3 linked regions of the Mus musculus genome follow. The protein of the gene in region 2 purifies or fractionates together with the protein of the main gene of each other region. This does not show direct contact. Links are inferred from orthologs where the notes say so. Each region holds a gene or a part of one and is shown on either strand. Other genes may lie near its edges.

What was found. The genes of interacting proteins can lie anywhere in the genome.
Region 1: the proteins of Otud5 (region 2) and Ctps2 purify together in Homo sapiens (affinity purification with mass spectrometry; 3 studies listed by BioGRID and IntAct, with this or other methods). This does not show direct contact. The link is inferred for Mus musculus from reciprocal best matches to the Homo sapiens genes OTUD5 and CTPS2.
Region 3: the proteins of Otud5 (region 2) and Mapk1 purify together in Homo sapiens (affinity purification with mass spectrometry; 3 studies listed by BioGRID, with this or other methods). This does not show direct contact. The link is inferred for Mus musculus from reciprocal best matches to the Homo sapiens genes OTUD5 and MAPK1.

The regions. Positions count from the first base shown.
Region 1 is NC_000086.7:162,900,350-162,904,453, reverse strand, and holds the start of Ctps2 (CTP synthase 2), read right to left. Parts: upstream 2,895-4,104; 5' UTR 2,707-2,894; exon of another isoform or gene 2,540-2,706; intron 2,284-2,539; exon of another isoform or gene 2,074-2,283; intron 1,883-2,073; exon of another isoform or gene 1,778-1,882; intron 1,021-1,777; coding exon of another isoform or gene 982-1,020; coding exon 816-981; intron 1-815. UniProt on the Homo sapiens protein: Catalyzes the ATP-dependent amination of UTP to CTP with either L-glutamine or ammonia as the source of nitrogen. Constitutes the rate-limiting enzyme in the synthesis of cytosine nucleotides.
Region 2 is NC_000086.7:7,869,237-7,872,879, reverse strand, and holds part of Otud5 (OTU domain-containing protein 5), read right to left. Parts: intron 885-3,643; coding exon 681-884; intron 1-680. UniProt on the Homo sapiens protein: Deubiquitinating enzyme that functions as a negative regulator of the innate immune system. Has peptidase activity towards 'Lys-48'- and 'Lys-63'-linked polyubiquitin chains. Can also cleave 'Lys-11'-linked ubiquitin chains (in vitro).
Region 3 is NC_000082.6:16,981,925-16,986,275, reverse strand, and holds the start of Mapk1 (mitogen-activated protein kinase 1), read right to left. Parts: upstream 2,895-4,351; 5' UTR 2,650-2,894; coding exon 2,537-2,649; intron 1-2,536. UniProt on the Homo sapiens protein: Serine/threonine kinase which acts as an essential component of the MAP kinase signal transduction pathway. MAPK1/ERK2 and MAPK3/ERK1 are the 2 MAPKs which play an important role in the MAPK/ERK cascade.

The DNA of each region.
Region 1 (4,104 bases), about 160 Mb from region 2:
AGGGCACTCTGAAGACAGAGGCTGGTGCTCCCTGGACGAAGCTGGCTAACTAGACTCACGAAATCAACAGACTCTGGGTTCCAATGAGAGAGCCCACCTCAAAGTATAAGGTGGAAATGACTAAGGGAGACATCTGAAATCAACCTCTTTCCTCGGTATTCATTGGTGTGTTCTCTCTCTCTCTCTCTCTCTCTCTCTCACACACACACACACACACTCAACCACACATATACTCATGCATGCATACCCTCCCCCACAAGACACCTAAAATAAAGTCAATATTTATAACAATTATTTCAGCAGTGGAAAATGGTAAGAGGAATGTATTACCTTTATGATAAAATAAACTAAACCCAAGTCTATAGAAAATGGTCCATTTCCAAAGACTTGACTGTGTGGAATGCCATTAGTGATCTGAAAAATGGATCAATGGCCATAAGAATTTTCACACAGTTCTAAGGTATGATCCAGCAAGTCTACTTCTGGAAGTCTATCCTAGAGAAGTTACACAAAACACAAGACAAGGGGCCAGAGACAGCGTAGCAGTTAGGAGTATCTGTTGCTCTTGAAGAATACCAGAGTTAAGATCCCAAAGTACCCATAGCTCACATCCACCTGTAACTTCACCCAGTTCCACAGAACTTCTCCCTCCCAGCCCCTGTAGGAACCTGCAAACACATAGCACATACAGACACATATACACATAAATACAAATTTAAAAACACACACAGAGAAGAAATCATTGCAAAGTATGTGTATTTAGTATAGCAAAAATAAAGTTTAAGGCTTTAAAAGGAAAAGATTCCTTTTCATACCATGTTCATAAGGTGAGAAAGTTCCAGCATCGATGTTAATATAGGGGTCAATTTTGATGGCAGTAACTCGGAGTCCACATGACTTGAGAATAGTCCCAATGCTGCTGGCGATAATCCCTTTACCAATGCCTGAGATGACCCCACCAGTAACCAGGATATACTTCATTGGCGGGCGAATAGGTGACTGCCAATACCCAGATGCAATCTGAGAAACAACCAAATTAAGAATTAGAGTTGACTGTCATCGCTGTAGGATAAGTGCTATGCCATCTTCCATGGTTATGAATATTTATTAAGGTTGGAATAACATTTCATTGATTGTTTAGATCACAGCTCAGTTCCTATAGCAAATGAACTGTAAAACTATCTGCAGACCATGCAAGAGACACAATAAAACTTGAAGTGAAAAAAAAAAAAGAATTAGAGTTGAAAAAATTGGGTAAGATAGCCAATGCCTATAATCCTGAGGCAGGAAGACAGTTCTGAGTTCAAACCCAGCCCAGGCTACATAATTAGATCCAAGCCAGACTGGACTACAGAGTAAGAAGCTCAAAAAAAAAAAACAATATAAAGTTAGCTAGTATGAGTCCCAGTACTCAAGAGACAAAGACAGGTAGGTCTCTCTAAGTTAAAGGGCTGCCTGGTCTACACAACAAGTTCCAGGCAAGTTGTGGCTACACAGTGAGACCCTGCCTCAAACAAGAAAGAAGAAACAAACAGAGAGAGACAGAGACAGAGAGACAGAGAGAGAGACAGAGACAGAGAATGGATGCAACAATTGTGAGCTATATGTTACAGCTTTGTACTAAGCTTGGAGTGGGGGGTTTCAAATTAAAACACATCTCTGTTCCAACTTGCCACACATGCATTTCCACTCCACTGTGCAGGCCTACACCAAGAGACACCTTTCTAACGATGCTCATTTTAAAAGTAATATAAATCGAACACAAAGAAGTACTTACAGGATAAGCCCGATTTATGTCCGATTTATGACGTGATGAGCAAAACTAAGCCAAGACAGTGATCATCAAAACAGTGCAAGGGGGCGGAGTAGGGAAATGAACTGTCTAGAAGAAAAAGAGCACCAAGGACCTCTGTAGGTTGGTGAAAACGGTCTAAATCTAGTCAAACCCCACAGACCTGATGTGAAATGGCACATTTCAAGAGCATAAAGTACACATCAATTGTTTTGAAGACGTCATCCGCCTCCCCCAGGTGGTAGAGTTTAGCATGCCAGCTAGAAGGGTTGTTGTTTAACCTGTACGCTGGTGCAGAAAGCCTACTCAAAACCGTCCCCGCGGAGCTCGCCCCACTGTCTCGTGGTTTCACTTCCGCCAACGCCATCTCGGGGCTCCACAAAGCAGAGAAAAATAGGGCTTGGGGTGTGAAATCCAGCGCGGAGAGGCACACCCCAGGGACGCGCCGATTTGGAGCCCGGGTCACTAGCTACCTCCAGGAGACAGGCTCTGACTGAGCACCCGGCACTAGTGGGTGTTGTCCTTACCCCACCCCCACCCTGTCCCCAAGGCCCATTGGATCGCCTAGGTTTTCGAACACTATGTGGGAGATGCGAATGGCTGTGGGCTGGGCGTGGGCACCAGCTATAAGGGGACAAAACTGCCCAGGCCCCAAATGTGCTGCGGGCAAGGCCGAAATGGTCCCGGGGGACAAATGGTGTTCTAGGCACCGAGGCCGGAGGGGAAGAGGCCCAGGAGGGGTGTTACCTGTGCAGTGGCGAGGGCGCCCTGGAGGGTGGCTCACGCGGCTCCACCCAGCGGCCAGCCTGGCCTGGCGCTCACCTGTCCTACGGGTGCAGGGACCGCATCTAGGGCTCTCTGGTCACCACTCGATCCTGCCTGCCCCCAGGGACTGAGGAGCCCTCCTCACCCACCTTCCCCTCGCAGTCCGGCAGCCGGCCCAGCTGACTCACGCTGGTTGTGAAATTGCGAGTGCTGCAGCGTTGGGTTCCAGGGACAGTACAAAACAAGCGCCTAAAAAGTGTTTCCTATAGCACAGGCAGCTCCCATCACCCTCTGCTCTAGACGTCCTTGGCCCCAGGCCACAGTATGGGCCGGCCCCTCCCTCCCCCCTTTCCCCCTCCCTACCCCCTTCCTCCTCCCCTCCCTCCTGTGGTTAGCTAGCTTCAGGCCAGCCCCTGAAGGCTCCAGGACTGCTCTGAACCCCCACCCCCACCCCACGACTAGCCTAGCCCCTTGCTTGGATTCTCCCGCCAACTTCACTCACCATAAATGTTTGACCATCTGCTACAGTGCAGCCCAGCGGTCCACCACCGCAAAAGGTGGGAAAGGAGGAAAACAAAGCAGAATTCTTGCCTAGGAGCTCACTGCCCATCTACATGTTCATTGGTAAATGAACTTCATTAGCCCAAAGTTAGGAAGAGAGGAGGAGCAGAGCTAAGTAGGAGAGAAGGCTTCCAAAGCGACTTTGGGGGAGTGTTTAAAAGATAAGTGTGGCAAAGGACACCCAAGGCTGTTTCAGGTGTAGGAAAGGAGGAAAAACAACTGAAAAATAAAAGATCTAACTGGACACAGGTTTGAAGGGAGCAGACGTTTTAGAAAAGCCGCGAATTTATTTTATTTTATTTTATTTTATTTTATTTTATTTGGTTTTTAAGACAGGCTAGGACTGGAGATGTAGCTCATTTGGTAGAGTGCTTGCCTAGCAAATACAAGAAAGATCACACTGTATCTTAATACACTACATCAAACGCATGGTAGTACATAACTGTATTGCAGCGACGGAACATGGAAACAAAAGGAAACAGAAGTTCCAGATCCCCCTTGAATACTTAGTAAATTCCAGGCCAGTCTGGGTTATGTGAGACCTCAGCAACAGTAAGAGGTGCATTGTGTCACTGGCTCTCCTGGAGATCTGTATGCAGACCAGGCTCGTCTCAAACTTAGAATAATCTCCTGCCCTTGCCTCCCAAATGACCATGAGATTTTTGAGTAACAAGGATAAAACAGGACTCAAAACTTAGACAAACGTTACTGAAGACCTCGTGGAGTTTAGAAACACAACTACGAACGAAAAGCCAGTTGTAATCTATATAAATCTAGATCTCTAACAAAACCAGTTTTATGAATTGTGTCAAGTAGGGCAAAGTGGGAGCCTCTTTAGAATGTAAATGTAGTAGAGGGCCAAAGGTCTAATCCTGGAGGTCAGAGACTGAAATCCACCAGAGCCTATTGGACAGCAGGAAAACGGGAAAGAGAGGGATTGAAGAAGGCAAAAGCCCCAGCAAGTTTAGCAGCAGAGGGTATGATAT
Region 2 (3,643 bases):
TCATTATGAGCATTTTATTTCACTTAGTAAAACTGTGAGTAGCCTAAGGATAGGTACTTTGGCCTGCTAGGTTCACAATGTAGCCCGCTACACTAGGAATAGGACCTCCTGCTTCCTGTCACAGGCGTATAGTAAATACTCGCTGATCAGATTATTCAGCTTCTGGAACCATTTAGTCATTCTAAAGCCCTCTGTGATTCCCCAGGCGCCTGCCTCCCTGCTTGCTATCCTAGAAATACAACCGACTGGATCCTCCACCTCTCCTGGTCTTGTACAACCAGAGTCACAGGCCTGACCAATGCCGTATCTGCCTCAACAGACAGACAGGATCACTGAAGATAGTGAAGGAAAGACTATATCCTCAGGACAGAATGCAGCATGCAAAGGGATTCCAAAAAAAGCTGCTCTCTTTGTAGCTATCCATTGTTCCTTTGTGCTACCAGCAGTGGTAGCTGCTCTCTTCGTTTCTTAAGAGCTGGCTCTCCTTCACTTCTTAAAATCAAGTGTTGAGAGTTCCAAGGTACGATGCCAAGACTAAAGATGAGATGAGTTAGAGATGGGGCTGGGAGCTTCCCTTTCTCCCAGATGTCAAAATCTCTTATTTTATCCCTGTCAATTAGGGGTCAAAAGATAAGAAGTAACAGGTCTTGGTCAGGCCAATGACAGAGTCCATGACCCACCTGGCTGGGTCCCCGGACCTGGCGGGCCTGTTTCTCTTGATCCCTCAGCCACTGAAGGTAAGATTCTCGAGCCACCTGCTCCTCTATGGCCTCATTTGTGGCCTCCCAGTCTGTAGCTCGTTTCTTGTCTTCCAGCATTTGCTGTTCAATCCATGACTCTTCTGATGTCTTTATGGCATTCTTCATCAGGGACTGCTCTGCAAACTGCCAGGGGGGGAGAGGAACAGGGATGTGCGGTGATGCTCTGAACGTGGGTAAGAGCCTGAATGGGCTCAGAAAGGCAGGCCTACAGGCCTTAGCAAAGACAACATAGAAGTTATTTTTACAAAGCACTCCTCAGCGGATTGTGTATAGAACCATCCATAACTGAAGAAAGCAGGCTTAGATATAAGACCTGGCAATCTGAACTGCTATGGTCAGATATATGGGCCCAAACCCAAGACACCTCAAGTGAAGCATTAAGTCTGGAGATAAGAGGGGCTCTTCTGTCTAGGCCTTCATTTAAAGAAGCCTCATCTAGCAATGATTCAATTTCACAATGCTGAAGCCTTTCTCATATATTCCCAGATAAGGCAAAGGAAAAAGATGAACAGAGAAGTACAGACATGGAGTGGAGGCAGGAATCAAGCGTATATGAGGCTGGGTATGGCTATGTGAGGAATTAAAGGGTCAGTATTGGCATCGTGTGGGTGCTAGGACACTGTATTCTCATGCAAGTTCGCATCAAGTTTTAAGACACTACAACATTAGTTGCTTTCTGAGAGAGGGCCATTGCCTGGACTGATCTTGAACTCACTAAGAAGGCCAGGCTGGCCTGGAATTCATGGCAATTTGCCTTCCAGCTTGAGGCTCACAAGTGCTGGGATTACAGGCATGATGCTAATGAAATAATAGAGAACATCAAAGTATATTTCAGGGATTAAATGCAAATACTACTTCCTAAAATTTTGGTTAATGTTTTGTTTTCCAAAAACAATGACTTGGTATGCAGCCCAGTCATTAGGTTTTTGAACTCACAATTCTCTTCCTCTGCCTCAAGACTACTAGAATTTCAGGCATGTACCACCATGTCCCTAGCAACATCATTTTCAAATGCACATACATAACATACATAAATGCATGTATGCTAAACAACATAATTTTCTATCATGGAGCACACCAGGGGAAATACATGTATAAAAAGGTTAGATCAAGCCAATTTAAAAATAGGGCCAGCTCAGTGATAATGAATGCATACACAAAAACATGGGTTTAATTCCTAGCACTACAAAATGACAAAAATGAAAAGTAGGTAAGTGATCTAATCGCACAGGTAAAAGATATAGAGATGGCCAATGGACATATGTAACCAATACTCAGGCTGGGGACCAAGCTCAGTGGTAGAGCATTAAAACAATGTTCAACACATTTAACAATCAAGGAGCCTTTAAAAAAAACACTGAGAATGGCTAAAATTCAAAAAAAGTAGAAAGATGAATTGCTGGGAAAGAAGAGGAATGGAACTTTCATTCATTGTGATGGCGACTGGAACAAATCAGGCCACTTCATACAATAGTCTAGCAGTTGCTTACAAATCACAGCATGATTTTATAATTCTGCAATCTTGCTTCCAGATATTAATACAACTAATCATAAAATTTAAGTTCCTACAAAAACCTGAACACAGCAGTTTACAGAAGCTTTGTTCATAATCATCAAAACCTGGAAGCAAGCAAGGATATCTTTCAAATAGGTGAATGATTAAACCAACAGTGTGCCTCCACAAATGGAACAGTGATAAGAGAATAGCTAACAAACCATGAAAAACCAGGGAAGAACCTTAATGCATATTGCTACCTGAAAGCAGCATTTTTAAAAGCTTACATACTTATGATTGCAATTACGTGACTTTCTGAAATAGGCAAAAGCAGTCAATAAAGATCAGTGGTTGCAGGAGAAAGCGTGGGGAACCTTTAGGGGCTGAAACTAGCTGAATGAATAGGTGCCTAAGATAGATGCATGGTATTATTATGCATCTGTCAAAACCCAAGGAACTTTACAAAACAAAGACTAATCCTTAATGTATGCTAATCGCCTTTTAAAGATTAGTTAAGAAGTAAGGCTCCCAGTGACAAAACCACCTAAATGAATTACAAATGTATGCAAAGACAAGCAGGTGGTGGCCTTGGGCACTTTAAAAATGAATAGAATCAGTAACACTAAACATAAAAAGAACTGCAGATATCACCGGACTCCAGGGGGTCCAGTTAATGAGTCTGCCCCAGCTTATACCCGTATATGTAAATAGCAGTCATGTAAATGACTGCTGGGTGATGGGGAAAGTTTTCTAAACTTTAAAGTGAAAATTTACTCAGGAAAAGGGAAATTTACTCAAGAAAAAGGCTAGAAGGAGGCAAATGGTCAAGGGATTTTAACTAGATATAGCAGCACTAACCCTAAGCTCACATTAACATCAATTCAGGAAGACAGACATAATTCCCTTTCCTTAAGTATGACTTCCTTCCTAACACTACAGCAGTCAAAAGGTGGGAAAATTCCTATGACTTCTGCCAGACAACATCAACAGTCATGATCATATTCCTAACACATATTCTTGATATCTGTGCTCTTCTGCCCGAACCCAATATCAAAGTTAAAATCATTAGAAAAATGCTGGAAAAAAAAATAATTTCCCTGCAATACTTTTGAATGGTTCTCCTTAAAATTTTTGAGATCATCAAAACAAGTGGGAGGAATGAGGCAGTAACGTCAGGCTAGTAGGCATGTATTAATACTGGTTCACACATGGTAACAGATTACCCAAGTCTCTGTTCCTTGGGAAGAGACTAGATGGAAACTGTACACTGAGAACACTGTTCTCAAGGAGGAAGGGGGCTTTGCACCAAGCTTGATGAACAGAGAGACCTCCACAAACCCCTCCCCAAAACAAATGTAAAATAGTTTTGAACAATGAAGTCTATTAA
Region 3 (4,351 bases), on a different chromosome or scaffold from region 2:
AGACACCCATAAGAGGTCGGAGGCATCAAGATTACTTGGAGTTACTGGCTATTAGGAACTGAATTTTGGTTGGAGCTCTCAACTGCTGAGCTATATCTATCCTGCACCCCACCCCCACATTTTATCTTTTTGTCTTCTACATAATGACTAGGAAGGGAACTTGAACAGATAGGCACTATTCCCGGAGAACTGTTTTAGGGAAATCTTGCTAAAGAACAGCTTAAAATCCCTTAAATAATCTTTTTAAAAGAGTTATTCTTAAATTCAGTTTTTAGTGTGTGTCCCCTAGTGAGTTTTCTATGCACCACGTGAGTGTAGATGCCCTTGGAAGCCAGGGGTTGGGTAGGAGTGTCATCTAATGTAGATGCAGGAATCTGAGCTTAGGTCCTGCAAAAGCAGCAGATGATATTCAACCACTATGCCATCTCTCCAACTTTTTAAAGATCACAACTATTCAAGTAGATACTTAAGAAGCTGCCATAAACTCAACATTGATGAGATGCTAATGACATACAATTAAGACTATTAAATAAATACTAAGATACCTAAGATATGTTATCAATCTGGAGATAAAAGGCTGATGTTAGGATTTAAATTCCAATTACATCTGCATTTTTCTTAAAATTAAAATTTGTAGGTGCCAGGTGGAAGGCAGAGGCAGGTGCCAGCCTAGTCTAAAAACTGAGTTCCAGGACAGCCAGGGCAACAACACAGAGAAACCCTGTCTTAAAAAAATGAATTAACTTTATTTTATGCATATGAATGTTTCGCTTGAATGCATCTCTATGAGAACATCTCATCTTCTGGAACTGTAATTACAGACAGTTGTGAACTGCCATGGGAATTGAACCCAGATCAGCCAGTGCTCTTAAATGCCGACTCATCTCTCCAGCCCCTAAAATTTGAATTTTAAAAAGAATTCTGCACAGCAAGTGGAAACTTCAAAGGTGAATAGCAACAGGATCTAAATAATCCATCTTCTCAGGGTGGTGGGGAATGTGTGAGTTCAACTGACAGATCCTAATTTTTTTTTGTCCCTACTTAAAATAATCCCCCCTTAAATAAATGAGCCTATAGTGGGTAATCATGAGTGTCAATAATAAGTGTTACTGGCATATTTACCAGCAGGTACAGGGTAGTAATACATGCAAGACAAATGTGATATGGAAAGTACTTTTTCTCCATTCCTCTTTTGACTTGCAGGTCCAGTTCACTTTTATCTTCGTAATTGTATACTATGAGACATTTTGCTCATAAAAATATAACTATTCATGAGTCTTTTCTTTAAAAAAAAAAAAAAAGAACGTTAATTATTCTATCTTGTTAGCACACTTGGTGAAAACACACCTTTTCTGGCATTTCTAAAATTATGACTATTCAAATTTTAATGCATTTCTGAATAGACTTGTTCATCAGGAAAATATGCCGAAGTCCTGAGATTATTAAATCAAGGAGAGGCCTGTGCAATAGCTCAAGAGCTGAAGCATTTAAAACAGGATCTTTCTACAGCAAAGCTTGATTCTAGTTCTTCGCCCTGTAAAAGGACTTCCTTTCAATACCTTATCTGAAAAAGGCTGTCTTCTCTTTCCTCAAGATAGCTAAGTTAAATTAAACTATCTCAGAGACCTTCGATAAATGAACTTGTTTTAGTTAAAACAATACACTTCAACATTCCACATGCAGGAAATCCTGCAAGTGATCGTGCAAAAACTATTCTTGAACACTGAAACGTTATGGGGAAACGATCACAGTAATCGGGCTAAAACATATGGATACATTCACACTGTTAAGAGAGTACTCTTGAGGGTAACGACGGGATAATTTAAAGTCAAATTAGGACTAACTCCAAATACTTCTTAATAATTCTAGAGTGATGCTGGCTTATCCTTTCTGAAACACAATCGGTATATTTAAATCCATTTTGAAACTTCAAGATTTCAATATGTCCACAACCAACGCTGTGTCATTAACGGTTAAGCCCGAGGCAGAAAGCATCATTAGCGCTACTTAAGATATTTTGTGAATGCTGTTCACGTACACAGAAGAGAAGAAAAATATTTTGGTGCTCAGCACACAAGCCTATTATTCCGTCTTGCAAAACCATGGCCGCCGCCACCACGGACAAGCATCTAATACAATTCCTGGCTTTAATCTAATGTCAAGAGGCGGTGGCTATAATGCTATAAATTAGGAGACACAGTGTACTTCCGTTCCCGTCCCGAGGGAGAAGCCTCGAAAGTACGCGCTTTAAGACCAAGCCCCGGAGTCTTCGAGTCCTGGCCTCAATCGGGGTTGCCCCTCCAACCGCAAACGAGAAGCAGCAGAGGAAGACGAGGAGCAACACCTAAGCCTCGACCGGCTCCAGGACCCCGCCCCAGGGCTCCAGGAGTGAAGGCCAAGAAGCCAGGGGTCCGGGGCGCCGCAGAACGCGAGGCCAAGGCGCGGGAAGGGCCGTGGGTGCGTCCAGATCAGCCACAGGCAGGGGGCACAGGGTGACCGCGTGAGGCCGGGCCTGAAATCCAGCGCGGATACTCACCAAACCATGCCGTAGGCGCCTTCTCCGATGTACGAGAGGTTGGTGTAGCGCGGCCCTACGTCGAACACCTGCCCGCGGACCATCTCCGGGCCCGCCGCCGCCGCCGCCGCCATGTTGGCTGCACAGCCGCCGCCGCCGCCGCCGCCGCCGCGTTCGGTTCGACGCTTCGCGGCTGCCGCTCGACTTATGCTGCGCTTCCCGCAGGAACCGCGCTGCCGCCCGTGTAGCCGCCCCCGCCGGCGATCGGGAACGAGGAAGGAGGACAACACAGAGGAGAGAATTAACCGCCGGTAGAACCACTGCCAGCCTTCCTGCCTGACGGGCGGGCTACGAGTGGGAGGAGGGAAGGGTTCGCGTCGAAGGGCGCTAGGGCGGAGTCAAGGGCGTGCGTGTTGATTGGCTTCTCTTGGTAGAGAGGGCGGAGTCTCGCGGGTCGGCGGAAGCAGCGAGGTGAGGCAGGAGCACTGCGGCTGCGGGGGAGGGACGTCATGTGCGCTCGGAGACCCAAGCGCTGGGTAGCTCTAGAGAGCTAGGTTGGAATTTAGGCATAAGGACCCCACAGAGTCCCACCCACTGTCCTGGTGCTGTGCCTGGTCCAGAACGAACTCACACGGGACCAGGGACTTGGCTTGAGACCAGAGGACTCACTGCACACCAACCACGGGACCCCTGAGACAGACCTCTAAGAATACGTGGCCCACATTGTGCACTCTGATGAACTTAGACCATCAGAGTGGGACAGAAACCAAAAAGCATAACCCAGACCCAGAAAAAAACTTTCACCCTGTAATGAGCATAATTTTAAAAAATGCCTTTTAGACATATAAAACTAGATTAAGCAGGAATCCCACAGCATCCAAGGCTGCTCCTGATCCAGAGCTCAGTGACATCACTCACGCAAGATAACCAGATACAGTCCTAGAACCCCATGATGCCCACTGGACAGAATATAAGCAGAGACCAAAAGCAGTGATTTGCTCTACACATCTGGAGAGATACACCTTGATCTGCTCTGTGGCTAGAGAATCCACTCCCCCCCCCCCCCCCCCCCCCCCGCCAGGGTCCTGATCCTCAAATCAGAAACCTGATCTGAAGCTAAGATAGGTGACACAGGTGACCTTGGGGAGACAGGCTTAGGACTGTAAGAAATTTAGACTGTAAACCTTGCATGATGACCTTCAGCATAATAAAATATAACTTTTGTTATACTAACTACATATATCTACCTTCTTGCCCGTGACACACACCTAACAGTGTGAGACATAAGTAAGCAGAAACCAAAACACAAGACATTGAATCCCCTAATTAGAGGTTTGTTCAAGAAGATTTGCTGAATATCTACGGCACTGGAGCCAGCCATGCTTCCAGAGTGAAAAGACAGACAAAATACAATATTTGCACTTAAGTGTTGTGAAGAAATAAAAAGCCAAGGGAAAGTATAGAGAGCTGTGGGTAGGGACACTGGAAAAAGACATAGAAATTTGGGGACTCGGGTCCAGGTGTTGTGCAACAGTTTCCTGAAGGACTGAAACATTCTATGAACTTGAAACATTCTAACTTGAGGGGAAGCTTCTGAAATAGTAAACTAAAAACTAAAAGCAGCAAGGCGGCATGGTGCCTCACACCTTGATTCCCACCACTTGTGAGGCAGTGGCAGGCAGATCGCTTATGAATTGGAAGCCAGCCTGGTCTACAGAGTGAGTTCCAGGATAGCCAAGAATATGCAGAGAAACCCTGTCTCAAAAAAACAAAACCAATCAAAAAACTCAAAGGAGTTTCAGGAAGTCCTTAAAACTGACCAGATTCACTAGGCCC